2 linked regions of the Anolis sagrei genome follow. The main gene of each other region encodes a partner of the protein of the gene in region 2 in a complex. Links are inferred from orthologs where the notes say so. Each region holds a gene or a part of one and is shown on either strand. Other genes may lie near its edges. The genes, in order: PPFIBP1 and ERC1.

Region 1 (15,227 bases), about 89 Mb from region 2:
TGGAGGGGGTTGGGAGGAATTGACATTGATTTACGGGAGATGTAGTTCACCTACACCGGAGAGCACTGTGAACCCAAATGGCTATAGATCTGGACCAAACTTTGCACAAATACTCAATATGCTCGAAATTGAACACTGGTGGAGTTTGGGGAAAATAGATCTTGACATTTGGGAGTTGCAGTTGTTGGAATGTATAGTTCCCCTGCCATCAAAGAGAATTCTGAACTCCAACAACAATGAAATTGAACCAAACATGGTATACAGAACTCCCATGACCAACAGAAAATACAGGAGAGGCTTGGGGGAAAATAGACTATGGCATTTCAGAGTTGCTGGGATGTATAGTTCCTCTGTCATCAAAGAACATTCTGAACTTGAACAACAATGGATTTGAATTAAAATTGGCATACAGAACTCCCATGACCAACAGAAAATACCAGAGAGGCTTGGGGAAAATAGACTTTGGCATATGAGAGTTGCTGGGATGTATAGTTCACCTGCCATCAAAGACCATTCTGAATTCCAGGCATTTTGGGCAAGGGATATTCAACCTATTAAAAATGTACTTTCTCTGTTATAGTTTGGTTCTTTTTAATTGTTGAATTCTTGTAGTAGTAGTAGTAGTAGTAATACTTCTGCTAGTAGTAAATGTTATTGTTTAGCCCTTAGGCCATATCACAATAACAAATCAAACCAAAAAGCTTGATAAAACTCGATTACACTTTATATAGTAAGTTAAGTAAAACATAACTGTACAGTAAATAAATATTATAAAACTGAATATATACATCATGTTTCCGTATCACCCCTACAATTTATCCTGATCAGCCCCACATATGTGGTTCTCAGACGTATTGCTTTGTTTAAAAACAGAACAGTTTTATATGTTATTTTGGATCTTGGGCACACATAAAATACGTTGTTCTGATGCGGGATTCCCAATACATTGTCCATTTGATATAGGAACCAAGGTACAAGTCTCTCACCTTCTGGTATAATTTACAATCAAATGCTATATCCTCAATTTCAGGTGCCCCACAGATACAAATCCATTCATTATAAGGGCTGCTATTAAATTTCCCATATCTGACCATTGTATCAAGCTGATCAAATCAAACTCGAGTGAATACCTCTCTAAAAATGTTTTGGCATTTGAATTTTTAGATAGTTAGCAATTTGAAAGATACGTTTATATCAGCTCAGCCATTTGAAGTTGGCAACCTTACTAAGGTGGCTATATCTTTTTGCGCTTCTAAGTCTAAAATTATTTGTATAGCACTCTTTTTTATTTGGTTTCTTAAGGCGCAGGAGACAGGGAGATCGCAACTTCTTAAATAATTCATCAGTTGTGTAATCCAACAGGTCTGTAGTTGGAAATTTATCTGTTCTAATAGGCACAATTTTGAGAGTCTATTGGGCTCCATTACATTGATTTTATGCCAGTAATTATACACTCTAAGTTTAGACTATGCATGGATTGTGTAAATTTCCAGTTCAGCTCTCACTGCAGCAGTTGATAGATGTGAATGTGACTAAGGGCCCATCAACGCTACCATCTAAAGGCAGTTCCTGGGTTACAAACATCAGACTTGCAAATGATTCATAGTTAAGAACAAGGGTGATGAAGTCAAAATTTAGAATTCTTAGGACTGCAGATACCGAGAGTCTGTGCCTGATGAGGTCAACTAACCACCAATATTCCTGAAATAAGTGAAGACTCAGCAGTTGAGCGGCTGACTGGGAATGGAGAGCGGCGTGGTGCTGGTAGGGGCCTCGGTGGGGGTTTTCCGGTTGCTGAACGCCAGGCTCAAGTGGCTGGTGCCCTCCCCAGCCAAGGGGAAACCCTTGGAAGTGGCGGAACCTCTGGACCTCGCTGGCCCTCTGATGAAGAGTCCTTCAAGGGGTTCTCCAAGAGTGAAATGAGTAAGGAGGAGGAAGGAGATACAGATGGGAATAGAGGGACTAAGAGGATTACTCGAGAGCATCAGAGAAAGAAGATCCGGGACATACTTACTGCTCCCACAGAGGAAGAGGATTTTATGGGTTTTTCTGGGAATGATGGGTCTGGGAGTGATGGGGATGAAGAGGAACCATTGGATTGGACCAAAGTACAGGAGGTTCAGAATGTGTATACTCAACCAACGTCCAGTGACACTTTTGCAGGGTTTTCTGGTGGCGGGGATTGGCAATCTGGTGATACTGTGGAATCATAGGGAGACCTAAGTCTTGACAAGAGGTGGAAGAGTTGGAGGGATGGGCATTGGTGCTCAGCTGTGGAGGCTAAGCCAGCTGAGAGTGATGAGGATGGGGTGGAGCTGTAAAGATGGAATGATGAGCTGTAAGATAAATGTAGGCATTGGAATGATAGAACTTTGCAGTAGGCAAAGAGTTGGTTTCGTGCCTTGGGTCTTGTCGCTGCCACTTTCCTGTTGGGCTTGGGTCCTGGATCTGCAGGTTGCTGCCTTGCTTCGTGTACCGACCGGCTTGGATTCTCGTAAGTGTGGATTTCCCCTCTTCTTGACTTCGGACTGTTTTTGGCGATGACACTGCCTTGAGGACTTCGGAATCTTCAACTGGGATTTCTTCGACTTTGGACTGCATTTGGACGACAGCTTCTCTTCACAGCGCTTTGTTTGTTTATTTCTTTTGAACTGTGTGATTTTGGTGTGTTTTGGAAGAACTCTTGTTTAATCCGGGTTTTTTGCCAGTTTAATCCAGATTATTGACAAAATTTGTTTTACAAGCTAGAAATTGCTACAAACTTTGAGTTTTGACCAGAGGCACTGAAGCAAGTGTCTCTGAGTCATGTTTGCTTTGCTTTAATAAACTATTGTTTTGGATATACTCCTGTGTCTAGCTCTTTAAGGCATCTGGGAAGGGATTCAATGTACAGCAAAGAATATCAAAATGTATAAGCATAAATGTATTGTGAAATCCAACAAATTTTATACAGTAAAAGTCACATTTGTTAACATTGTCTAAGTTTGTATATGATCAGAGTAAATAGAGACTTATTTATTTATTTATTTATTTATGATATTTCTATCCCACCTTTCTCGAACCCAAAGGTGACTCAAGGAGGCAAACAACCAGGCAGCAATTTGATGCCTAGTAATATACAATTAAAACAACATTTAAGCAGAATTAAAATACATTCAATAAAATCTTTAAAAACATTCATTGTTAGTTTCATTGTCCAAAAATCATCGTCTGAGCCTTTCCAATATTCCAATGTTCACTTTTGTCTAATTTCATGTTTGACTGTTGCATTAGATTCCGAAGGCTTGTTCAAATAGCCACATTTTCACTTTTTTTCCAGAAGGTCAAAAAGGAGGGGACTGGTGTAATATCCTTGGGGAGGGCATTCCGCAACTGAAGGGCCACCACTGAGAAGGCCCTGTCTCTCGTCCCAGTTGTTCCTGTGAAGAAGGCAAGACCGTGAGCAGAGCCTCCCCAGACAATCTTAAACTCTTAGATGGTTCATAGGGAGAGATATGTTCAGACAGGTAAGCTGGGCTGGAAAGTTTAGAGCTTTATAGGCTAAAACCAGCACTTTGAATCGTGCCAGGTAGCAAACCGGCAGCCGCTCCCGTGAGCAATCTGGCTGCAATCTGGCTGCAATCTGAATGCAGCTAAAATGAGACCTCTCTCCCTTTGCCCTTATTTCACCTAAGAATTTGCATTGAAGCATCACATGAACTCTATCTTTAATATTTTTATTACTTTATTTTATTGAACTATATGAATTAGAAGGCAGATCAGCATGAACTCTAATTACTTAGACGATCCCTCATTGTCAGAGTAGGATTGTCTTCCAAGATCGGTGTACTAGCGGTGGGTATGTAGGTGACTGTGGAGCCCTATTCTTGATCTGCATGTTCTCCTGCAGTGAGGGCATTGGTTTCCAGGTGGAAGGCGGTCCTGATCAGGGTTGGCTTGACGCTCCTTCCTCTTGGCACATTTCTCTCTTTCACCCTCCTCTTCAAATTCTACAGCACTGCTGGTCACAGCTGACCTCTAGCTGGAGCGCTCAAGGGCCAGGGCTTAACCTCTTGAGCTATCTGAGCCATTCCAGATACTCCTTCCACACCCTATGTGGGAAACAGGGACAAGACATAATCTGTTGGACAAGGAATCTTCATGGATACCAGTGGGAGGCCATCTGCTTGCCACCCTGAACTTCCTCTTTGGGGATCTCAGCTGTCCGCTGGATAAAGGTTCAGGAAGAAACTCTGATTACACTCTCATCTTCACTTGACATTTCTGGGATCTTTTCTTTATCTTCTCAGCATGGGAGGATGTCTGGAGATCCACTGCTCATTGTCCTTACATCCAGGACCCAGTATCTGCATAATCCCATCATTTATCTTTTTGGATTCTCATTGTCTTCAGCATTCCATTGCTATACAACCAGGTTGGATACAACCCCTTGGAGATCACCTCCAGTAACCACCTCCATTGGCCCATTGGGAGCCCCAGGGCTTCCCCGCATCACTGCCACCTGCACCAAGTTAATTTATACAATTACAATGCATAAAAACCACAAACAAAGTTAAAAACTTGGCATTATGCTAAATTTCCGTTGACCACTTCTAGTGCCTCTGATGTCACTGTGAGAAGGTCCTCCATTGTGCATGTGGCAGGGCACAGACTGCATTGTAGTAATGCAGGTTTGTTCTTCTCCACATGTGCATGTCATGGACTCCACTTTGTAGCCCCATTTCTTAAGATTGGCTCTGCATCTTGTGGTATCAGCGCGCAGCCTGCTCAGTGCCTTTCAAGTCGCCCAGTCTTCTGTGTGCCCAGGGGGGAGTTTCTCATTCAGTCTCAGCCATTGATTGAGGTTCCAAGTTTTAGCCTGCTACTTTTGCACTCTCACTTGCTGAGGTGTTCCTAAAAGTATCTCTGTAGTTCTTAGAAAACTATTTATTGATTTAAGACGTTGGTATGCTGGCTGATATCCAAACAGAAGATGGGCTGAGAATGTCCTTTCTTTACTAGTTGCTATTTCAGGCAAATATCAAGTGGTGCAATAGCGGCTAAACAACGTAATTTCTCCAACGGCATAGGGGGTAGACATCTGTGATAATGTGGCATGTCTCATTAAGAGCCACATCCACTGCTTTAACGTGGTGAGATGTATTCCACACTGGACACGCCTATTCAGCTGCAGAGTAGCCAATCTCAAGTGCAGTGATAATATAATACTTTAAATTTTCTAGATGCCTTTTCTAGATGTCCTAGTCATCCGTAAACCAGATCAACAGTTGGGTCACACCGTCTACAGAAAACCCACACACACAGATTGATATCTACATAAAAACTCCAACCATCACCCAAGTCAAAAAAGAAGCACCATTAAAGCCTTGGCAGACCGTGCAAAAAGAATCTGTGAACCCCACCTCCTCCAAGATGAACTGAACCACCTAAACTGGGCTCTACAGGCCAATGGATACTCCACCTCAGACATCAGAAGAGCTGCAAGACCAAGAACAAGCCACGAGAGCAAAGATGAAGATCCACCCAGAGAAAAAGTGTTCCTGCCATACATCAAGGGAACCACTGACCGCATAGGGAAACTGATGAGGAAACACAACATACAAACAATCTACAGACCCACCAAGAAAATCCAACAAATGCTACATTCAGCAAAGGATGAGAGGGATCCTCTCTACCGTATTCCATGCAGCTGTGGACAAGTCTACATAGGGACCACCAAACGCAGCGCCCAAACACGAATCAAGGAACATGAAAGGCACTGCAGACTACTTCAACCAGAGAAGTCAGCCATAGCAGAGCACCTGATGAACCAGCCTGGACACAGCATATTATTTGAGAACATAGAAGTGCTGGATCACTCCAACAACCACCATGTCAGACTACACAGAGAAGCCATTGAAATCCACAAGCATGTGGACAATTTCAACAGAAAGGAGGAGACCTGAAAATGAACAAAATCTGGCTACCAGTATTAAAAAACTCTAAAATTACAACAGCAAAACAGCAGAGAGGAAACAACCAGGCACATCTTAACACCTCTCAACAAAAGATTTCCCCAGACTCAGCCAGGCCTTCAAATGCTAATGAAGGTGGTCAGTGGAAACATTCACACCTAGCTCCAGCAGAGGAGAGCTCTTTGCCCCACCCCAGTCATTCCACAGATATATAAACCCATTTTCCTAATTCCAACAGACCTCACTACCTCTGAGGATGCTTGTCATAGATGTAGGCGAAACGTCAGGAAACAATGCCTCTTTTATTTATTGTGTCATCAGCAACCATTGTATCACAATTCTAACAGAGCAAAACAAACATACAGATTAAAAAGAAAAAGGAAAAAAAAACACACAGATTTTGCAAATTTAGTATTTGGTTAAATGTCCTTTGACCAGTATCTGGCCACTTGGAGTGCCTCTGGGGTTGCCGCAAGAAGGTCCTCCATTGTGCATGTGGCAGGGCTCAGGGTGCATTGCAGCAGGTGGTCAGTGGTTTGCTCTTCTCCGCACTCGCATGCCGAGGATTCCACCCTGTAGCCCCATTTCTTAAGATTGGCTCTGCATCTCGTGGTGCCAGAGCGCAATCTGTTCAGCGCCTTCCAAGTCGCCCAGTCTTCTGAGTGCCCAGGGGGGAGTCTCTCATCTGGTATCAGCCATGAATTGAGGTGCTGGGTTTGGGCCTGCCACTTTTGGACTCTCGCTTGCTGGGGTGTTCCAGCGAGTGTCTCTGTACATCTAAGAAAACTATGTCTTGATTTAAGTCGTTGATGTGCTGGCTGATACCCAAACAGGGGATGGGCTGGAGATGTCTCTGCCTTGGTCCTTTCACTATTGGCTGCTACTTCCCGGCGGATGTCAGGTGGTGCAATACCGGCTAAGCAGTGTAATTTCTCCAGTGGTGTGGGGCGCAGACACCCTGTGATAATGCGGGATGTCTCATTAAGAGCCACATCTACTGTTTTAGTGTGGTGAGATGTGTTCCACACTGGGCATGCATACTCAGCAGCAGAGTAGCATAGCGCAAGGGCAGATGTCTTCACTGTGTCTGGTTGTGATCCCCAGGTTGTGCCAGTCAGCTTTCGTATGATGTTGTTTCTAGCGCACACTTTTTGTTTGATGTTCAGGCAGTGCTTCTTGTAGGTCAGAGCACGGTCCAAAGTGGCTCCCAGGTATTTGGGTGTGCTGCAATGCTCCAGTGGGATTCTTTCCCAGGTAATCCTCAGAACTCGGGATGCTTGTCTGTTCTTAAGGTGAAAGGCGCATGTCTGTGTTTTAGATGGATTAGGGATCAGTTGGTTTTCCCTGTAATAGGCAGTAAGAGCACCTAGAGCAGGGGTCCTCAAACTTTTTAAACAGAGGGCCAGGCCACACTCCCTCAAACTGTTGGAGGGCCGGATTCTAATTTGAAAAAAAATGTATGGATTCCTATGCACACAGCACATATCTTATTTGTAGTGCAAAAAATACTTTAAAGCAATACAATAATTAAAATGAAGTACAATTTTAACAAATATAAACTTATTAATAATTCAATGGGAAGAGTGGGCCTGCTTTGGCTAATGAGATAGAATTGTTGTTGTGTGCTTTCAAGTAATTTCAGACTTAGATTGACCCTGAGCGAGGGCCGGGTAAATGACCTTGGAGGGCCGCATCCGGCCCCCGGGCCTTAGTTTGAGGACCCCTGACCTAGAGCTTCGGAGAGCTTCTGTTCAACCATCTCAAAGCTCCCTGCTTGAGCAGTAATGGCACGATCATCAGCATAGATGAAACTCTCTGTCCCTTCTGGCAGTGGCTGGTCATTTGTGTAGATGTTGAACAATGCCTCTAGAACATGGCCATATAGCCTGGAAAAACCCACAAGAACCTACTTTAAATTTGTTTCTAACTGGAACTTCCGGTTGTTTTCTCCATGTTTGGAGGATGTTTCATGGCATGAAACACGAGTCTTCAGAGGGAGTCTTCCTGTGTTTACTCATCCAGATTCACACTGCAGGGCTGGTATTTTCCAGGGCTGGGAAGAAAGCTCTATTGCCAAGGCACTCTTTCACTGCCAAGTTGGCAGGGAGACCAAGTTGGGAGCGTGAAAGCCTTGTTTTTCCAATATGACACCGCCTGATAAGGCAAAGCTGAGAAAAATTAATGGACAAGGCCAAAATTAGACTCCTCCCCTTTGGTCATAGTAGCTCCTTTGATGAATCTTCCCACATCACGGACACCCCACAAATCCTCTTTTAGAAAAACCCTCCCCCGCCTTTTCCACCAGCCCTGGAATGTACTACAACGGGGCGGAGGGGGGGGGGAGAAAGAAAGAGTACTCCCTCCTCGAGTGACTCCCTCTTACTCCAATCAAAACCAGGGGTTTTACGAAATCCTCCAATCTCTTTAGCCGCTCCCTTTGGGGGGCGGGGCGAACTTCGGGGAGGCGCCAGACGTTCAGCTAGGCGCTTCAGTCTTTGCTTGGAAGCCTGACATGGTCGGAAGAGGAGAGGCGAAGCGCGTCTAGAGAAAGGCAAAAGCAGGACCAGGGATGGTTTGGTGAAACCGAAGAAGGAGCGAGGCCTAGAGGCACAACTTTCCCCAAAGTTCGGTTTGGGTAAGTGACTTTTCTGAAGAGGGAAAGCAACGCATTGTTTATCCAGGAGCTGCTTTTCTTTTAGGCTCTTGATCCGGTTGATCTTACAACAGGAAGTGCAAAGTTGAGACTCTTGCTGGAGCTTGGGAAAAAAGGAGAGAGAGAGAGAATGGGAAAGCCTTTTTCAGACTGACTGTAACTTTGGGGTGCGTCTATATTGTTGGATTTGATGAGCTTTGGCACCACTTTAGCTGCTGTGGGGTCACAGGAGTTGGAGTTTGGGTGAGGCACCATCACCCTTAAGCAAAGAAGGCTTCAGACTTTACAAAACTATACCTCCCAGAATGTCACGGCAGTTTAAGTGAGATCAAACTGCATTGATTTTATAGTGTAGATACATCGCAACCTTGGAGAATTGTGGAGGAATTAGTCAGAGGTAAGGAGCACATTTCAGAGACCTGGACAGTTTGTTTGAATTATTGTGTGTGCATAGATGATAATTTTTAAAAAGAAGCATATATACAGGCAGATCGGAATATGAGAAACTAAGACTAGAAAGGGTGAGTTTGGGAATAAGTGAGAAAATGCAATGCTTGGGATCATAAGTGTTTTTGATTTAGGATATTTTTCTATTTTGGAATAGCTGTATTTATAGATTATACTTATAGATTTATTTATTTATTGTATCAGTAGCAACCAGACAATTGTATTACATTTTAAACACATTTTTAACAAACAGACAAAACACAGAATTTGCAAGCTTGGTAGTTGATTAAATGTCCTTTGACCACTTGGAGTGCCTCTGGTGTTGCCGCAAGAAGGTCCTCCATTGTGCATGTGGCAGGGCTCAGGTTGCATTGCAGCAGGTGGTCTGTGGTTTGCTCTTCTCCACACTCGCATGTCGTGGATTCCACTTTGTAGCCCCATTTCTTGAGGTTGGCTCTGCATCTCGTGGTGCCGAAGCACAGTCTGTTCAGCGCCTTCCAAGTCGCCCAGTTTTCTTGTGCCCAGGGGGGAGTCTCTCATTTGGTATCGACCATTGATTGAGGTTCTGGATTTGAGCCTGCCATTTTTGGACTCTCACTTGCTGAGGTGTTCCAGTGAGTGTCTCTGTAGATCTTAGAAACTATTTCTTGATTTAAGTTGTTGACGTGCTGGCTGATACCCAAACAGGGGATTAGCTGGAGATTGGTCCTTTCACTATTGGCTGCTACTTCCCGGCGGATGTCAGGTGGTGCAATACTGGCCAAACAGTGTAATTTCTCTAGTGGTGTAGGGCGCAGACACCCCGTGATAATGCGGCATGTCTCATTAAGAACCACTTATAGATGTATTTATACATGTTCTGTGGGGGGCATCTACATTGGAGAATGAATGCGGTTTGACACCTCCTTAAGTGTCATGGCTCAATGCTCTGGAATGTTGGGATTTGTAGTCTAGCATTATTTGGCAGAGGAGGTTTGAGCTTTATCAGTGACAATTCCCAGGATTCCAGAGCATTGAGCCACAGCAGTTAAAGTGGAGTCAAACTGCATTAATTCCATAGTGTAGATGCATCCATAGATACCTCATACACACGGCCTGAAGGTAATTTAATACACCATCTTTTTCATGACTTAGTGTAGAGCCTTCCAAACATTCATGTGTCAGCTACAATGTATAGGTTGTAGCTGTGTTGCATGAACATAAGGAGAAATCTTTGAGTCTTTGTGAAATAGCAATAAATCATATATTTATTTATATATATTTATGAATGGAACAAACTAATTTGATGGGACATAGCAATAATTAAGCAGTTTGGCCAGAAATGGAAAAGAAAAACACAGTTGTATATGATAGATTTGCGTGAAGCCTAAAGGAGTGCATCGACAACAAATTGGATAGGATAGTATAGAACAGGGGTCCTCAAACTTTTTAAACAAAGGGCCCGGTCACAGTCCCTCAAACTGTTGGAGGGCCAGATTATAATTTGAAAAACATGCACCAATTCCTATGCACATTGCACATATCTTATTTGTAGTGCAAAAAGCACGTAAAAACAATACAATAATTAAAATGAAGAACAATTTCAACAAATATAAAATTATTAGTATTTCAATGGGAAGTGTGAGCCTGCTTTTGGCTGATGAGCTAGGATTGTTGTTATTGTTGTGCGCTTTCAAGTAGTTTCACACTTAGGTTGACCATGAGCTAGGGCCGGGTAATTGACCTTGGAGGGCCGCATCCGTCCCCCGGGCCTTAGTTTGAGGACCCCTGGTATAGAATATTAACAGGTTTCCATGAAATATGTTGTGTCCCCATACATAATCCAGAGGAGGGTGACTAAAATGATTAAGGGCCTGGAGAATAAGCCCTATGAGGAGCGTCTCAAAGAACTGGGCATGTTTAGCTTGCAGAAGCGAAGACATGATAGCCTTGTATAAATATGTGAGGGGAAGTCATATGGAGGAGGGAGCAAGCGTGTTTTCTGCTTCCCTGGCAACTGGGACTTAAAACAATGGCTTCAAACTACAGGAAAGGAGATTCCACCTGAACATTAGAAAGAACTTCCTAACTCTGAAGCTGTTCAGCAGTGGAACTCTCTGCTCCGGAGTGTGGTAGAGGCTCCTTCCTTGGAGACTTTTAAACAGATTGGACGGCCATGTGTCGGGGGTGCTTTGAATGCGATTTATTTCAGTTTTATTTATTTCAATTTTTACCATTGTCATTTTTGCATATAAATGTTTAATACCATTTTAAATATCATATTCAATACTAGGTTTTAACTTTGCTTTTGACAGTGTTTCTTAATACCTGAATGTATATGTTCCTATTCTGATATTTGTACATTTTTTGTGCTGGTTACTGACCATAATAAATAAATATCTATATGTAATATAAATATATAAGCTTTGGATTGCATAGGGAAGCATTAACACCCCTGTGATGTTTGTTTTGGTACCTGTGCAGCAAAGTTTACAAGATGTTACCTTACTTTCTGTCCCTGTGATAATTGGATCTTGAAAAAATTGGCTTGTTGTGGAAACAAGGATTGGTGATAAAGCTTCAGTGGAGATACCTTTCTCCCATAATTCTTTCAGTAGTGAATTTCCCATCCTGGGATAGATTTCTTTCATTTCATGTTGTCTCACCCCCTTTCTTAACTATGAATAATTTATAAGTCGCATATTTGTAACTCAGGAACTGTCTGTAGAAGGATGTACATTTCATGAACATTTCTGTGTCCATACTGTCTATATTCATGGTTTTCATTTTTAGGATGGGAGGGTATTTCAGTTGAGCTGCTGGGATGAGATAGTGTCTCCTCTTGTGGGCATCTCTTTGTATGTTTAATATTGTTATGTTTTCTGCTGCTTTTAAACCCTGCCAAATTTTGTCTGCTTCTGCCCTGGTGAATGCGTAAAAGCTCCAATGAACACATAGATCTTTATAGCTTTTCCTGCTTCTGAAACTAGACGCTTCCGTGTATTTGGACCAGACATCTGGCAGTGACTTATTCACAGGAGCAAAACAAACCCACCTTCTTTTGACCAGTGAATAAATACACTGGTAGGCACCATCTGAGAAAGAGTTGGGAGGAGATAAAGAATGATTGAAGCTCTGCTTTGAAGTTCAGCCCTGTTGGGATGCCAGTTTCCCTTGGTATCTTTAACCTCGGTTTGGAGACATATATGGGATAATGTTTTCATGCATGTGAGTGTGAATAATGGTGAAATTCGATGACATAGTACTTGCGTGGTTTGTACTCTTGGAATATGTTTTGGAGACTTTTTCTTGCCCTATGACACTGTGTGGGACTTATTAGTAAAGTCTTACACACTGAAAAAATGGAGGAAGAAATACTGGAAGAAAAATACAAATATATTTCATAAAGTTTCCCTTATATATCATTTTTATGGCCAGGAGTCCAAATGCATCTAAGGCAGTGGTTCTCAATCTGTGGATCCCCAGATGTTTTGGCCTACAACTCCCAGAAATCCTAGCTAGTTTACCAGCTGTTAGGATTTCTGGGAGTTGAAGGCCAAAACATCTGAGAACCCACAGGTTGGGAACCACTGCTCCAAGATTAAAAAACATCTATCATTCCATAGCATTGAGCCATGCTAGTTAAAGTGGTATCAAACTGCATTAATTCAACAGTGTAGAAGCAGTCTCAGTGTCTCTCTATATGTACTACTTTCTTAACTCTTAAAAATACCCCACCCACTAAAATGAATGGAAATAATCTGTCCTGATCCTCCTACTGAGTCTTGTTGCACTGGTTGATGGCCCACATTGTTGTCAGTCTCCCATTAGCTTAGAATTAGAATGGCACCGGAGTGCTATTTTGGGCAGTGTGTTGACTTTTCTCTAGGAACAACAGCAGCAACAAAAAGAGGTTTATTTCAAGGGGTTTATGTATAAGAGACAGGGACCAAAAGTTGTTGATGATGAAGTTTTTACACTTTGACTTTCTTTGGCTGAAAGCCTGAAGCTGCTTTTCAAAAACCAAATAAGCTGTTGCAACGTGCCCCTGTAGTTTGTGATCTTCATGAGAGGTTTTCCTTATTTTTAAGGATAACTTAGATCATTTTTATAAAACACTTAGCGAGAGAGACTTATTCAGCTTTATCTTGTGCTTTTAATCTTCAGACAAATGTTGATGTATTATGAACAGTCAGCATTATTAGTTCTTTTTCTTTGAGTCTTGTTCAAGGATTTGGCAGTAAAATATGTACTACAAACTGTTCGGAATGGAATATGTGGAAAAGTAGAAATTATTGGCAAAACAAGCATCTATTTTTTTTAACTCTGACGCAAAGCCACTGGAAGCAAACAAAAAAATCAGAATTATGGAATAGATCTGAAAGCAAGGAGAGTTGATGTATCTGAATGCAATATAATAAGTTCCTTACCAAGTGGGGTGGAACTTATTATATTGTATTCAGATACATCAACTCTCCTTGCTTTCAGATCTATTCCATAATTCTGATTTTTTTTGTTTGTTCCTTACCTAATAAGGAACAAACCTAATAAGTGGGATGGAGCCCCTGGTGGCGCAGTGGGTTAAACCCCTGAGCTGGCAGGACTGAAGACCGACAGGTCACAGGTTCGAATCCGGGGAGAGGTGGATGAGCTCCCTCTACCAGCTCCAGCTCCTCATGCGGGGACATGAGAGAAGCCTTCCACAAGGATGATAAAAACATCAAATCATCCAGGCGTCCCCTGGGCAACGTCCTTGCAGATGGCCAATTCTCTCACACCAGGAGTCACTCCTGACACGACCAAAAAAAAAAAAAACCCAAGTGGGATGAGCTGCAGTGACTTTCTAAGTGTTTTTGGATATTACCATTGATCACGTTGGCTAATGCTGGTGGGAATCGTAGGCCAGGGCTCTTGAGTATTGTAGACCAACATTTTTGAAGAGACAGAGCAGTTTCCCAGATTCTGGATTTCCAGAATCAGAGGATCACTTTGGGGATCACTTTTCTGGATGATCAAGGAAGACCAAACAGAGTGAAGCTGTGCAAGTGAAATCAGTGCTGCTTTTCAAAATAAAGGTGCATGTTTAACTGACCCGCAAGTTGTGCCTCCTTTTCTTTCTTTTTTTGCCCAAATGAATATTTTTCAGCAGTGAGACATATGGAAAGCAAAGCATTATACTTCAGGGTAATTTGCCATCAAAGAAAAACTGACCTTCCACACTTGGCCCTGTGTTGACCCATATCTTATAGTCAGGGATTTTTCTCTATTTTATAGTGAATTGCTTAATGTTTCTTTGTGCATGGAAACATATTGCAACCTCCCTCCAATAAAGAACCTTTTTCTCCATATCCACTGTTATGGGAATCCATTTCTGGCAAAGGGAATGCTGCAAGAAGTACAGTTGGGGTGATACGGTAATGGGAATGCTGCAAGGAGTAGTTAGCCCTCCATATTTGTGGGCGTCATTTTTGTAGATTTGATTATTTGTGGATTTGATTCAAATGTTCTCTCTACAAATTTTAAGTCATCCAGTATGTTTCTATGAACTTTTGGCAGAGTCATCCTGGAGGATGCAGAGATTCTTAGAGAGGTGTTGTCTCAAGGCAAAAAAACAAAACACACACATACACGAGTTAGGGGCAGAGTTAGGGTCACAAGAGTTAGGGGCAGAGTTGTAGTGGTTGTATGAAAGACGATTGTTGATGGTGGCAGGTGTTTTCAGCAAGAACTCCAGCAAATTAGTTGTCTCTTTAAATTAGTGGGGGAATTTTATATCCGTCCAGACATGTTGAGTTGCATTTCTCAGCATGCCTCACCATTGACTGTACTGGCTTGGCCTGATGGGAGTTGGAGTCCAATAGCATTTGGAAGTCTGCATGATTTCTGCCCCTACTCTAAATGAATGTATATGTTTGCTTGTGCTCTGAACCATATACACATCAGGGAAAGTAGCAGCTGCTTTGGGTGTCTCTAGCTTACAGCAATCACCAGGAGATTTTAGATATAGCATCCCTGAGGCATAAAAATAATGAGCTGATTTGATACAGTTAGCTTGGCAAGGATGCACCAGAATTTACAGGACATTTGTTGCAGAGCATCTCAGAAAGTGAGGAGCAAGAGAGGTTTGAGCAGCGTAAAGGATGGAAATTGACTGGATAGATTATTGACTTCAACCAGTTGGTTAGCCAGGACCT
Region 2 (15,508 bases):
ATTTGGTTCTCTTAGAGATGTCATGGTAGGGCCCAATGGGAGGAGGGATATGTGCATAAACTCTAAGGTGGAACTATGGTTTTCATGAATGATCAGTGGTCATCTGTTTCAACTCTAAACATGAGCAGAATCTAGCTGCAAATTGGAAAAAACTAAATTGAGGTTGGGATCAGACAAGACAGAGATACTCTTGGTCAGTTGCAAGGGTATAGGGTTACAGCCCGTGCTGGATGGACTTACACTCCCCCTGAAGGTGCAGGTTCGCAGTTTGAGAGTCTTCCTGGACTCTTTGCTGAGCCTGGAACCCCAGGTGTTGGCAGTGATGGGGGGGGGGGGGGGGCATTCGCATAACTAAGACTTATTTATTTATTTATTTGCTTTATTTCTATACCGCATTTTTCAGCCCAAACAGGCGACTCAATGCGGTTTACATGGTACAATTATCAAACAGTGTCAGTGCAATTAAAACCCATACCTTGGGAAGTTGGACTTGTCCACAGTAGTCCATACTGATGTTACATCCCGTTTAGACTACTGCAATGCGCTTTATGTGGGGTTGCCTTCAAGGACTGTTCAAAAGCTGCAAATAGTCCAACGCGCTGCAACCATATTGTTAACTGGGGGGTCACACAGGAGGCATATAACCCCCCTGCTGCGGCAACTCCATTGGCTGCCTATTAGCTACCGAGCACGATTCAAAGTGCTGACTTTAGCCTATAAAGCTTTAAAAAGCTTCGGTCCAAATTACTTGTCCGAACATATCTCCCCCTCTGAACCCGCTCGTAGATTGAGATCTCCTGGGAAGCTGCTGCTCTTGACCCCACCGGCCTCACAGGGCCTTCTCAGTGGTGGCCCCACGGCCGTGGAACTCCCTCCTGAGTGAGATCAGGTCAGCCCCCTCCCTCTTGACCTTTAGGAGACAGCTATATACCTGACAGCTATATGCCAAGTGTTCAGCCCATCATAGGAATACTTAAAGTGAAAGTTGAAAGTGCAATGCCCCAGAACTGTTTACGGATTAACGGCTATGTCTTTGTGTGATGTGTGATCTTATTTTATGTGATGTGTTCAATAATGTTTAATCAGGGGAGGATCAATTTTGATGTTTTATAGTGTTTCTTATCAATGGCATTGAATTGTGACCAACACTGTGAACCGCTCTGAGTTCCCTTAGGGGTTGAGAAGGGCGGTATACAAATATCACAAATAAATAAAATAAATAATCTAAATTACTTAGAAATTATAAATTATTTGCATTCACCATTGATAATCTAAAGAAGAGAGAATAGCATTTCTGTCAACTCAGAATATGTATCATTCAGTAACAGAGAACCTGCTGTTTTGAAACTGCTTGAATGTAATTCTGTTGTACAAGTTATCAGACACTTTTGCTAAAACCTCAGAGAATGATAAGAAACATTAACTTACTGATGTAATCAATGTATTTTTAGAGCACTGCCACACAACAGCTGCTCATTTTCATGTAGCTGATCAAGACTATTGCTTCCCCGAACAAAAGGGAAAGCAGTTACTGGAAGCTGCCTCCATTTGCTAACAAAAGTATAAATTGAAAGGATTACACTAGATACCAAAGAAGAAGAAAGCTTATCAACAGGACTGGCAAGGAAAAAAAGTTCAAAGTGTTTACCCCTGTCCTCAAATTTTATTTTAGATTAAGGACAAAAGAAAACAACACACAATTAGAATATTGTTATTTGATTTAAATAAATAGAAAAATGTTAGCATTTTAATGTTCAGTTCCATTCCTAATGATTTCAAACATGAAAGCTGCATTTTTGATTCACACCGAACCCATGTTCATGTAGAATGCATTTATTATTATTATTATTATTATTATTTTGCATATTTCTACCCCGCCTTTCTCAACCCCCGAGGGGGGACTCAGGGCAGCTTACAAAAGGCACAATTCAATGCCTACACAAACAATAAAAATAAAACATATATAAACAGCAATTAAAACAATTATAAACAATTAAAACAATCAATTATACATCACAATCAATAAAATATTTCTTGTTTAATTAAAACAAGTAGTAATTATGATTACTATAAATTTATTAGTTTAATTAACTTTACATTTATTAATATACCAGTAACTCATTTGCAGGTTCCAAAACTTGTCCGCTTTGCATAGTCATTGGCAGCAAAGCATGGTAGCGCATATAAAATTTTACAAGTGGGTTGTGGCCACATTTATATAGAGTCTATTAAACCTGAATTGTTTCTTACATGTATTTTTGCTTTTTTATTCTTATGTAACATATTTTCTTAATTAAGAATTATAAACATATCTCTTAAACAAGTGCTAAGATGAGAAACCAGAAAGATCTGGCAAATAAGGCCTCCGTTGATGATTTTACACACACGCAAATTCCGAAGCTCCTTGAATAATTACTTGGGCCATTTCCCAGAAGTAATAAAAGCTGTTTGCAGAATATTTATGATGAAGGGACTATGATATCCGTAATTACACTTGCTTCCCTTTTACTCATTCTTTCAGTAACCACTAGTCTGATGGGAAATATGGTACTCTTTAAAGCAGTTGTCATTAGATGCATTACTTAGGAGAGGAATACAGCACTATTTTAAATGAAGGCCTTATGAAAGTCATTAATTGAAATTATGGTTTCACTGAAGCTTTTCCCTCTCATTTTTCTCATAGCTCAGAACTGAAGTCGTCTTAGGCCATACGCAAGACTTTACCACACAGGTTGTGAATCTTTTAGGGAAACACAACTTGTGACATTATCACACCAGGGCTTTAGTGCGGACTGCCCCGCATTTCTATCACCTGCAGAATTCTGGGAAATGTAGTTTAGGGTGGAGCCTTTTGGATTCTCAGCTACAGTGGTCCTCACCTTCCCAAACTACATTTCCCAGAATTCTGCAGGTGGCAGAAATGCCGGGTTGCCCGCTTTAAAGACCTGGTGTGATAATATGGTTTGTCTTGCCAATTTGCTGCTTGTGGGACACCTGAATCTTGATAATCTACATTTCTTGCCTGGTTGAGTGTTACAGAATATATAACAGCTATCTAGGATTTTTCTTTGGCTGCAAAAGAATTAAGGTCACAGTCAATTTAGAACTGATTAACTACCAAGAAAAGAAGGCATAATTTAAGTATTCAGTTTAAACTAAGTTTTATTTTGTAATGCATAATTTTCTGAACAAATATAGGCATCCCTCACTTTTTAATTGTCTTCTCTTTCAAACCTTTTCAGTAATAACTGGAATTTATTAATTTACAGTGTGGTTCACTTTTTTGGTCACATGGAAAATTAATGAGTTTAGGTTACCTATAATTCAAAAAGTTCAAAGGAACAGAGGTGTGTGTGTGTGGGGGGGGGGTCTTTCCTGGGATAATCCTCCTTTTTGTGAAACACTCTCCTGCTACCTAGGAAATAGTCTGAAATAGGCTGGAGCCACTTTCCACTGCTTTTTGGGGAACTGCCTATCAGGTAAAGGCAAAGTTGCTGCTATTGTTTAATACTCAGATGGTGCAGCATGATTCACTGTGCGTCCATCCACAGTTGTTTGTGATGGGCCCAGCTGCTATACGGGATTTCACTCTGGAGTATAAAGAAAAATGGAGTAGGTCCCTCATTGGAAATACATTCCTTGGTCACATCTACAGACTACATGTGAAACCAGCAGAGATGGAAGCAGTTTTTGGTGTGCGGATGTAGAAAATCCTAATATTGCTTCAAGGCCTAAGTGGTGCTTATCAAATTGATTCCAGAATCTGCAATGTCTGCAGCTTGACAACTGGGGAGAATCTAAGATTTTTTAAAATTCGGCCCTCCCTAATTGCATATGTGCAGACTGCCAAAGAACTTCACAAGTGCACATTATGAAAGAGCGAGTTAAAAATTACGCCCACACGTGCTGACACACATTATGGGCTATATTTCAGAGTATCCTGCAACTTTATCTCAGTTTAAAGCCCTTAAAGTGCACTGCAGGGCTTAATCGTGGTGTGCATCATATAAACACTGAGCTGTCAGGCTGCCTTTGAAGTGCATTCAAAGATTAGTTTGAATGTGCCCCATAGGGCTTCCTGGAGGGGAAGCTGTACTTGGAAAGATTTGCTGGGGATGCCAGTCATTACATGTCATTTTCCTTGCCTAATGCTGTCCAGTAACTGTGGCTACTACTGCACTTAAAACTGAACACAAAAGATGTCACTTTGTTTGACTCTCTTGCAACCATGTCCTGCTTTCATTTTAACAATTTCCCTTTGGGAAGGACCAGCACAGTGTTGTGGTTTGGGCTCTGGACTACTGGGTCCAAATCCCAGCTCAATAAAACGCATTGGATGACCTTGGGCAACCTTCTCTCTCAGCCTCAGAGGAAGGCCATCGCAAACCTTTCTGCACTAACACTGCCGACAATATGCTGTGGAGTTTGCTTTAGAGTTATGACAAAGCTGGAAGCTCTGCAAGGTTTGCTGCTGCCAATACCACATGTATCCCTTTATAACTTTTACGGCTTGACTGAATAAAAGGCACATGTGGAAAATGTTAAGGCTCAGGGTGCCTTCACAGCACCCAATTATAGCGCTATGACCCCACTGTAACTGTCATGGGGTGCATCTACACTGTGGAATTAATGCAGTCTGACACCACTTTAATGCTATGGCACCTTGGGATTTGTAGTCTGGTGTGGTATCAGTCCCCTTTGGCAAAGAAGACTAATGTCATTGCAAAATGACAACTCCCATGATTCCATAACGTGGTTGTTCCAGTGTGCCTTCCCAGAATAGGAAACTCCTAGCATTATGTCCCAACACACTTTATCAGAGATCTAGGATATCTGCATGCCCATCCCCCTCCAAAACACTCCACCTGGTCATGCCCAGCACTTTTAATTTTAATTATTACATTTGGCACTGCCATTGTTTTTAATTGTGTCATTGTGTGTTGTCAATGTTATTGCTTTGTTTTCTGAGTTATTTTGCTGTCTGTTGTTGCTGTTGTTTTTACTATTGTATTTGGGCTCGGTCTCTTGTAAGCCACACCGAGTCCTTCGGGAGATGGTAGCGGGGTACAAATAAAGGATTATTATTATTATTATTATTATTATTATTATTATTATAACATAGAGTCATGGCAGTTAAAGTGGTGTCAAACTACACTTATGGCTGCATCCTACAGAATCCTGTGATGATGATGATAAAGATAGAACTGCAAAGACTCTGGCACAAGCCAGTAAAGGTGGTCCCAGTGATGATCAGCACACTGGGTGCCTAAAGACCTTGGCCTGCATTTAAAAACAATCAGGACTGACAGAATTACCAGCTGTCAGCTGCAAAAGGTCACCCAACTTGGATCTGCACACATTATTTGCTGATACATCACACTGTCCTAGACACTTGGGAAGTGTCTGGTGTGTTATCAAATACAAAAACCAGCACAGTGATCTTGTTTGCTGTGTACTAATCTTGTCGTGTATCAAATAATAACAACAACAATAATAATAATAATAACAACAATGCAATGACACTAGAGCTCCCTGACTGGGAATTCAAAGTGGCCCTTCCGAAATTAGAGGTCCTAAGATGGAACCGTGGCAGTTAAATGCGATGACATAGTTTTAACTTTATAACAATAATAATACTTTATTTATAACCCACACTATCTCAAGGAGCTTTGAAGCTTGAAAGGGCCCCATGTTGGAAATGACAACTTTCTTCAAGCCTTCTCTAATAATGTATTGTCGAAGGCTTTCATGGCTGGAATCACTCAGTTCTTGTGGGTTTTTTCGGGCTATATGGCCATGTTCTAGAGGCATTTCTCCTGACGTTTCGCCTGCATCTATGGCTCACCTCTGAGGATGCTTGCCATAGATGCAGGCAAAACGTCAGGAGAAATGCCTCTAGAACATGGCCATATAGCCCGAAAAAACCCCACAAGAACTGAGCTTCTCTAATAATGTTTATCTATGATCCTGTTGCTTATTGTTTCCTGTATATATGTTCTGGTGTGCAGCTTCCTTTACTCTCTAGTTCCTTAGAAGACTTCAGACGTCGGATCACACACTTGCATGCTGTTTTGCTGTAACAGATGTCCTGGCTCCAGATGGCAAAGAGAATTATCTCAATCATATCTGAAACTGGACTGATAAGTTGTGTAGCTGTGTATGCTGAACATATGAAGGCCGTAAGTAAACCAACTATGTTATTTTTTATCCAAGTCTACTTCATTTTTGTCTCTTGAGTTCATGATATAAACAAGTTGCTTTATGGGACAGTATATATGTATATATATACACTAGGCAATGGTTTCAGTTGTTAGACTGAATAACCTGTTACCTCTGATCTGTTAGGAAAACAGAGATCTGCCAGTGCATAAAAAAGCAGTGCTTCAGAAGTGTTTTTCAGTGTCCTTTTTATGCACTGGCAAATCTCTGTTTTCCTAACAGATCAGAGGTAACAGGTTATTCAGTCTAACAACTGAAACCATTGCCTAGTATAATTACACCTGGTTGTATATCACAAGAGAAGATTCTACTCTAAAGAGTTTTTGGCTCTTCTGGGAATGGTCATGCTTTCCTTAAAAAGTTTTAATCTCCAAAAGGTTATGAATGCCATTTTCCAAAAGCCCAAGCCTTTCCCCACTGAATTCGAGCCTAAATGTAGGTGTAATGTCCTCTTCTCCGTTACCTGAGCGGGAGAGACGGGCTGAGAGAACGGGGAGGGAACCCTCGCTGCCTCCTTCTTTTGAAAGCCTTAGTCAGAGATGACGGGTACGGCGAGCTAGATTGGACAAACTTCCCGCGGGTGCTCACCGACGCTTGCGCAGAAACGTCTCCTCGCCCTCCAATGGGAAAGGGGGGGAAGATGGCATAGGAACCCGAGACGTGTCAGGAGGCCGAGAAAGGCGGGAAGACGCCTCCTATTGGTCAGAGCGGACCAATGAGGGCGCTTCTGAAAAAATGATTGGCAGGCTCAGTGGATGAGGAATAGAAGGGGGGGAGAAGGAAAGGATACGTCAGCCGAAACGTGGAGGTAGGTGAATAGCATAAGTCTGGAGTGAAGCGGTCGAGCGGTGGGAGGGAGGGAGGGAGGGAGAGCGGAGGAGGAGGGAGGAAAGAAAGGGGGAGGAGCTTCGAGCGCGAGACGCGTGCCTGGGCCAGGCTCGCGCCGAAGGGGGCGGGGCTACGGTCGGTCTCTCGGGCCGAAGGAAGGGAGGAGGAGGAGGAGGAGGAGGGGGGCGGGGCCTGGCTCTTGGAGGGAGGAAGGGAAGAAAAGGGGAGGAGCTTCGAGCGGGAGGCGCGCGCCTGGGCCAGGCACGCGCCGAATAGAGGAGAGAGGAAGGGGAGGGGGAGGAGGAAGGTAAAAAAGAGGGAGGAGCTTCGCGTAGGAGGCGTGTGCCTGGGCCAGGCTCGCGCCGAAGAGGGGCGGGGCTACGGCCGGTCTCTCGCGCCGAAGGGAGGGAGGGAGAAGGGGGCCTGGCTCGAGGAGGGAGGGAGGAAAGGGGAGGAGCTTCGAGCGAAAGTCGCGCGGCTTGGCCAGGCTCGCGCCGAAGGGAGGAGGGGGCGGGGCCTGGCTCAGGGAGGGAGAGAGGTAAGGAAGGGGGAGGAGCTTCGAGCTGCAGGCGCGCGCCTGGGCCAGGCTCGCGCCGAAGGGGGGCGGGGCTACGGTCGGTCTCTCGCACCGAAGGGAGGGAGGAGGAGGAGGGGGCGGGGCCTGGCTCGTGGAGGGAGGGAGGAAGGGAAGAAAAGGGGAGGGGCTTCGAGCGGGAGGCGCGCGCCTGGCTCAGGCTCGCGCCGAACGGGGGCGGGGCTACGGTCGGTCTCTCGCACCGAAGGAAGGGAGGGAGGAGGGGGCGGGGCCTGGCTCGTGGAGGAAGGGAAGAAAGGGGGAGGGGCTTCGAGCGGGAGGCGCGCGCCTGGGCCGAAGGGGGGCGGGGCTACGGTCGGTCTCTCGCGCCGACGGAAGGAAGGCAGGGAAGGAGGAGGAGGAGGGGGCGGGGCCTGGCTGGTCTCGCGCCGCCGCCGGGGGCCAGGGCGCGAGCGGCTCTCTCTCTCTGAGGTAAAAGGAGGAGCCTCTCCGCCGCTCGGATCGAAAGGAAGGGAAGCCGCGCCTGCTTGGAGAGCTACAGCTGGCCGGGGGCAGGAGGTAGGCTGTTAGCCGCTGGGCCTTCTGTGTGGCTTCGAAGCTGAGGCAAGGGGAAGGGAAGGGGGTCGGGCGGGGCCTTGCCTGGCCAGCTGGAGCCAGGCCCTCTCCTGCCCCAAGGCCTCCCTCCCTCTCTCTCTCTCCATGGAGGCCACACTCAAGGGGGAGTCCTCTTAATATCGCCTTTCCTTGAAGGGGAGCCCTTCTCTTCTCCTCCCCCCTTCCTTTCCTCATAATCTCTCTGCCTCTTCCTTTCCCTGCGCCCCACCCGGTTGCCAGGCATGGCTTCCTGGAATACATCATCTACCTGCCTCTTTTCCTCGGCTCTTCTCCCCCCCTCTCTGTTTTCACAAAAAGCCATTTTGCTTCAGATAGATATTCTGGCGCTCCATCCTCCCTCCTTCTCCAAAGCCTACTCCTCGTTTTAGAAACCATTATTGAGACACAATACTTTTAGGGGCACAAACCTGTTTTACTGGGGTTTTGTTGTTGTTTTTTATAGTCTAATCATTCTCAATTCTGGGAAACCATGGGAGCTTTCTGCCTGCCGCTAACAATCAATTGGTGTGAGAATATGCCTTGCTTTTCATACATTAAGGCAGGTATGAAATGTGTCAGGAGGCCGAGAAAGGCGGGACGATGCCTCCTATTGGTCAGAGACAGGGCCTTTTCTGTGGTGGCCCCTCGGCTATGGAATTCCCTCCCAAATGAAATTAGATCTGCCCCCTCTCTCCTGACCTTTAGGAAGCTAGTGGTACCTGGCTGTGCAACAAAGCTTTTGTGGAACGATGTCTCACACCGGCAATCAACTAATGGTACTTTTTTTTTTTGGTCATGTCAGGAGTGACTTGAGAAACTGCAAGTTGCTTCTGGTGTGAGAGAATTGGCCGTCTGCAAGGACGTTGCCCAGGGGACGCCCGGATGAATTGATGTTTTTATCATCCTTGTGGGAGGCTTCTCTCATGCCCCCACATGAGGAGCTGGAGCTGATAGAGGGAGCTCATCCGCCTCTCCCCAGATTCGAACCTAATGGTACTGATCACAATATATGGACTGGACATACGGACTGAGTTGGACACGATTTTATCTTTGCGAAAGGCTTTTATGTAATTTATGTAATATGTAATTGGTAACTTAATGTTGTGTATCATGTTTTAGATTTTCAGTTTTAGCATTGAATCATTGCTGTTAGGCGGTCCGAGTCCCTCTGCAGAGGTAGAGAAGATCGGGATATAATTTTTTTAAATAAATAAATAAGGGCAAACTTGGTCCCTCCAGGTGTTTTGGACTTCAACTCCCACCATTCCTAACAGCCTCCCTGAGAGGGAAAAGGAAGGAGCCTGAGGCTATTAGGAATGGTTCGAGTTGAAGTCCAAAACACCTGGAGGGATCAAGTTTGCCCATGCCTGCTCTAGCTACATCATCACAATAGAGAATGAATTCACTTTAAATCCGATTTCTGCCTCCTGCAGAATTCTGGAGTTTGTAGTTTAGTAAGGCTGTTAAAGGTGCCTCCTTAAACTACAAACCCCAGAATTCTGCAGGAGGCACCATCTGGATTTAAAGTGGAGTGACTTTGGGGCATATGAATGTTCACATCTGAGAAGTTGCTGTGTTGAGTTTAGCTTCAATAAATGTTCCTCCCATACCTTACAAATTAGAGAGACGATTGGCCAACACTAACGTTATGAAGTTCAATAGTGACAAATGCAAGATGCTCCACTTAGGAAGAAAAAAATGAAATGTAAAGATACAGAATGGGGGTTACCTGGCTCGAAAGAGCAGTACGTGTGAAAAAGATCTTAGAGTCCTCGTGAATAACATGAGCCAACAATGTCATGCGGCGGCAAAAAAAAGCCAAAGGGATTTTGGCCTGTAAAATAGGAGTATAGTGTCTAGATCCAGGGAAAAGTCATGCTACCCCTCTATTCTGCCTTGGTTAGACCACACCTGGAATACTGTGTCCAATTCCAGAGATGTTGACAAGCTGGAATGTGTCCAGGGGAGGGTGATTAAAATGATCAGGGATCTGGAGAACAGGCCTTATGAAGAGCTGCTTAAAGAGCTGGTCATGTTTAGCCTGCAGAAGAGGAGGCTGAGAGGAGACATCATGGTCATGTACAAATATGTGAGAGGAAGTCATGGTGAGGAGGGAGCAAGCTTGTTTTCTGCTGCCCTGGAGACTAGGACATGGAACAATGGCTTCAAGCTACTGGAAAGGAGATTCCACATGAACATTAGGAAGAACTTCGGAACAGTGAGAGTTGTTCAGCAGTGGAACTCTCTGCCTTGGAGTGTGGTGGAGGCTACTTCTTTGGAAGCTTTTAAGCATATGGATGGCCATCTGTCGGGTGCTTTGAATGCGATTTTCCAGCTCCTTGGCAGGGGTTGGACTGGAAGGCCCATGAGGTCTCTTTCAACTCTGTGATTCTATGAAATTGGCACATGGATGACAAGCATGTAGGAAGCAGTCTTGCTGGTATGGAGGGGAGCATTTACTGATTAGATATTCTTTGAGATAGTGGATAGGGCGAGGAAGAATGCTGTGCAATGGTTTTATCTTTCATAATTCCGTTTTGTCCTTAATTCTGATTGGATTATGAAACTGCCTTGTTCTGGTAATTCTTTCTAATGGAATGGGGTGGCCGTCATGCTGTGAAACTAACTGAAATATTAATTTGCAGCCTTGGATTTTGACAGTCAGCTTTGGTAATTTCTAGGATTTTTTTTTTAATCTCAGGGTAGTAACCTTGGGGAAAGTGCTGTGGTGAGGCCTTGAACTATTGCTAGCTAGAGTGCATAATTCCCCAACTGGGTGCACTGGGCTGTATCATGCTTTCAAAAATACGTATTCCTAGTTGCAGAAAGATATTATTTTCATCTCCATTCTCAACCCATCCTCAGTCAAAAATTGGTCTTGGGTTTAATTCAGTTTTGTATAGTTTAGACTCCCACAATTCCCAATAGCCGGTAGGAATTGCTGTAAGGTCGCCCTGAGTCCCCTTATAGGGTGAGAGGGGCAGGATACAAGTATGTGATATAAATAAGTCCAAAACACTTGGAGGGCCCAAGTTTGGCTGTGCCTGGTTTAGATGGAGCAAAAAGGGAAAAAAAACAACTAAAATGATCTCAATTATGTATTTTAAATAATTTATATCATGTTTTGATGCAGTCTCTTTCCATATTGGTTTGCAATAGGTAAATTGTTTCATATAGTATGATCCCTTTATCCACAGATTCAGTATTTAATATTTAGTATTGCCCTCCTAGTTCTCTGGTCAGATTCGATTATTTCCTTTTGGCCCAAGTATAGTCAAAATATATGCTTCATTATCCACAGTTTCAGTTGCCCACAGGGTTGATGGCCTTATTCCCATCAGATACAAAGATCATATAGTACTTAATGAAAACTTGTATCATGCACAGTTGATCCTGTGCTTCTAAATTCCTTACATCTCACTTGGGAGGGCTTCTGTTCCAGGACTCATTTACCGTTCCTTTAGCCACTCCTCTCTGATTCATTATGCTGTGCTTATTCCTGAAAGTCATTCCTTGATTATGCCTTCCTCTACTCTGATTACATGATTCTTCATTAATTGTCCAGCACCGCAGATCTGACTTGAAGATTTGAATTCTTCAGATGTGCTATATGACCAAAATCTTTAGAGCATATGTCTCTAATGTCAACATAATTTTAGAACATATATTTAATTTTATTGTATACATCTTGAACAGTTTTCCTGTTCTATTAATGAATTGGTAGTGTGCAGCAAACCTTTATTTCTAGCAAAAGAATGATGCATGTTAAATTTATAATATATAAGTGACACATACAAAAGGAAAAAAACGATTTGAAGGAAAGAATGTTAGAGCAGTTAGGGAAAAGTGCTGAGCTTTACGTTTTAAAAAGTATTGCTCTTTTTTTTTGTATTAGCTGTGTCCATGCTGTGCATGGACATTTTTAGGAAGGGTGGTCGTATTTGTAGTCCATCATATCTGGGCACCAGGTTTGGGGAATCTTATTTATGGAGTTGTGAAACCTGGAATTGTGATGTTAGAACAGACAGTACAGCAGATGCTGTTAAAATAATGAAGTAAGAAATAGCTAGATTAAGAGAATGAAATAAGAGCATTACAAAACAAAAGAATCCTGTATGTTTAGTAAAATGTAAAGAATTGTAGTGTTATATCATTATTTGTGCAGACAATAAGCTATCCAGTAATTACTTTATCAACATTATAAAGTGATTGATTCCTATCACTAAGTGAAATTCTTCAACTTGAGTGCAATATATAAATCTTAACTTTCAGTTTCCAGGACAGATACTAGAAAGTGCTGCTTGACCTCCAAAGTTCCCCATTTTTTAAAGTTGCTCTCTTTTTTCACATATGTTGTGTCTGAAATGGTTTGAGAGAGTCTTGTGGAAGAAAGCACAATTTTCTTAGTGTCTTTAGTTTCCGGTAATTCAGGATAAGGTTCCCTTAGAACTGGTTACAATAGGATGATGGTGCAATAGAATGGAAAGGCTGTCTTGCCATTGCATGTAAGAGGCTCCTGGGTACTGGTGAATGTGTCTTCAGCAGTTAGCATTACCAGTTTTTCCACTGTATGTGGTGAGAAAAAGTGTGCCTTCAAGTCACTTCTGACTTATGGCAAATCTCAGGCAAACCCATCATGGGATGTTCTTGGTAAGATTTGTTCAGGGCACTTTTGCCAATACCATCACTATATCTTTTTAATTGTTCACTAGTTTAATAGATGGTGAGAATGCTGTGAAATTCCTTTGTGTGGATTTCAGCACAGCATTTGATAAGATCCCTCATAATATTTTTGTTCGCTACTAACAAAACAAGAATTAGATGGAGAGAATATGACATAGCTCAGTAATTAGTTGGAAAATTGAGTTGTCACTAGTGGCCGTCCTTCATATTTTCAGATCTTAAAATGAGGTGCTGTAGGGCCAATGCTCTTCAATATTTTTAATCAATGATTTAGATGTTGGGGTAGAGGAAACCATTACTAGATTTTTAGATAATCATCTTTCTTGGGTACCACAGTCAGTTCTGGGTGCTTTATTTTAAGAATAATATACAGTAGACAAGTCAGACCAGGTTCAGAGAAGAGCAAAAAGGATGATAAGAGTCAGGGAGAACTAAACATCCAGGAAAAAGTTGAAGTACTTGGACTTGTTTGGCTTGATTTTACTGGAGAGTGATATGATTGTACCCTTTGAATACCAGAAGGGCTGCTACAAAGAAGAGGATGTTAACTTGCTCTCTGGTGCCTAAGATATTATAATTTTTATAAATAAATATAAAGGCCACATAATTGGGTAAGTGATGGGTCCATGGAGTTTGCTCACTGACAAAACCAGTGTGCGCATTAGAATTCTGTCTGCTGCACCATAACCATTTCTTATGTTGTTTTTTAATACTGTATATGTAGGAGTAGTTGTTTTAATGCAGAATGAACATGTAACAATGGCTTATCACTTTCTAGTGTAGCATTCATTTTTTTTCTTTTTGGTAAACTTTTGAATATTTCTTCATACTTAACAAAATATTTACTACTGATTTAAATACTATTTTGTTACAAAGCAGAACAAAACATTAGCAGAAACTTGATCTTTTATTAGTAAGATCAGATGAGATCAGTGAATTTAGCATTTATTGCTTAAATGTAAGATCATTAAATAGGATCAGTTGAAAAGAGCTTTGTGAGAAAATTGATGATGGGAGCCTAAAATTATTCCAGTAATACTTTTAAAATCACTAAATTGGGAAGCCTTTAATGTTTTTTGAAGTGTTTGTAATGTAACTGTCAATAGCGATATCTTACGAAAATTTCTGGCCAGCTTTGTGAAGTAGAGTTACAATATTCTCGCTTTAGAACAGGAGTGGGTAAAGCCCAGCCTTGGAACCACGCATGATCCATCACTTTTACACATTTCTCTGATTCCCTTTTTCTGCTCCCCTCAACTGTTCTTGCTTAAAGCCTTCAAGAGTAGCAATTCATCTTTTAAAGAAGGTTGAGGGGTGCTCTGTACTATTTTACATCTTTTTTTTTTTTTCCAAAAAGGCTTCTTGGAGGCAGAAGTTTGCTGTCACTAGAGGGTCCCTGGAGCAGAAAGCTATCTGAACCCATTTTAATTTAAGACTTCTGATTTAGAAAGTAACTTAATTTCTTTTATACAGGCAGTTAAACTTACAAATGACTCATAGTTAAGAACGAGGGTGGGACAACAGGGAGTTAGAGAAATCTACTCCTGAAAGGAAGTAGGGAAAATACACTCCCAAAAGAGGGAAATTCACTCCTGAAAGAGTTATAATGGGAAAAGGTATCTCCACTAAAGCTTTATCACCAATCCTTGTTTCCACAAGCCAAATATTTCAAAATACAATTATTGCAGGACCAGAAAGGGAGGAAAAAATCTACAGGGGTGTTAACTCTTCCCTGTGCTATCCAAAGCTATGTATTTGACTGGAGTTACACTTAAAAATGTACCTGTTCCGACACACACACATTCAACTTAAGAACAAACCTACAGAACCTATCTTGTTCGTAACTTGGCGACTGCCTGTATATCTCTTAGTAAGATGTTGGCATTTTGATAATGAACATTTAGATTTTTCAGTTTGCACATCTTTCATTAAATGTTTTTTTTCTTAGCATTTGTCACATATTTTCCACTTTTATTTTAAAATTATATTAGGATAGCAATGAAACAAAATGGCAGAGTTGTGCTGCCTCATCATATCTAGCATATTTGCTCAAAAAGAACGGCATAATTTCTTGTTACTTTTTGTCAGAAAGATTGCCATAACTATTGGTGTGCCTCATTCTAATTATGGATTATAATAATATAATAACTTTGTTTTTATACCTTGCTTCCATCTCCCCAAAGATTCAGGGCAGCTTACATGAGGTCAAGCCCAACAATACAATTAAAACATTAAAATGTAAAGCAACAATATAAATCAAAGCAAAATAAGAACAACAACATTATAACAAAATATAAAATAATGATCAAACCAACTACCAATAGCAAAGTTTTTAGGTTAAGGCCTCAAAAACTTGAATTGCAATTCTGAGCAGCCTTAGCCAATATGGCAATTGTGAAGAAATGATGGGATTTGCAGACTTGACTAAATGTTTGTGTCATAAGCCTTGTAATTATATTATTCATATTGTTTGTTTCCTATGAATTCATACCTTCCATACATTAATGGTTGGCATTTTTTTTGCTGTGTTAGTGTCTTACATTTTTGTTTGCATATTGCTTTGCATGGCTGTTTTGTAGGCATATTCATCCATTACACAACACAATTTGATTTCTCCACCCACAGAAATCCGTTTTTTCACTAGTGAGT

Evidence for each region.
Region 1: ERC1 (region 2) and PPFIBP1 share a complex: the UniProt entries of both Homo sapiens proteins name them as parts of the cortical microtubule stabilization complex. The link is inferred for Anolis sagrei from reciprocal best matches to the Homo sapiens genes ERC1 and PPFIBP1.

Annotation. Positions count from the first base shown.
Region 1 is NC_090025.1:89,608,539-89,623,765, forward strand, and holds the start of PPFIBP1 (liprin-beta-1), read left to right. Parts: upstream 1-8,417; 5' UTR 8,418-8,589; intron 8,590-15,227. UniProt on the Homo sapiens protein: May regulate the disassembly of focal adhesions. Did not bind receptor-like tyrosine phosphatases type 2A.
Region 2 is NC_090025.1:178,592,057-178,607,564, forward strand, and holds the start of ERC1 (ELKS/Rab6-interacting/CAST family member 1), read left to right. Parts: upstream 1-7,973; 5' UTR 7,974-8,140; intron 8,141-15,508. UniProt on the Homo sapiens protein: Regulatory subunit of the IKK complex. Probably recruits IkappaBalpha/NFKBIA to the complex. May be involved in the organization of the cytomatrix at the nerve terminals active zone (CAZ) which regulates neurotransmitter release.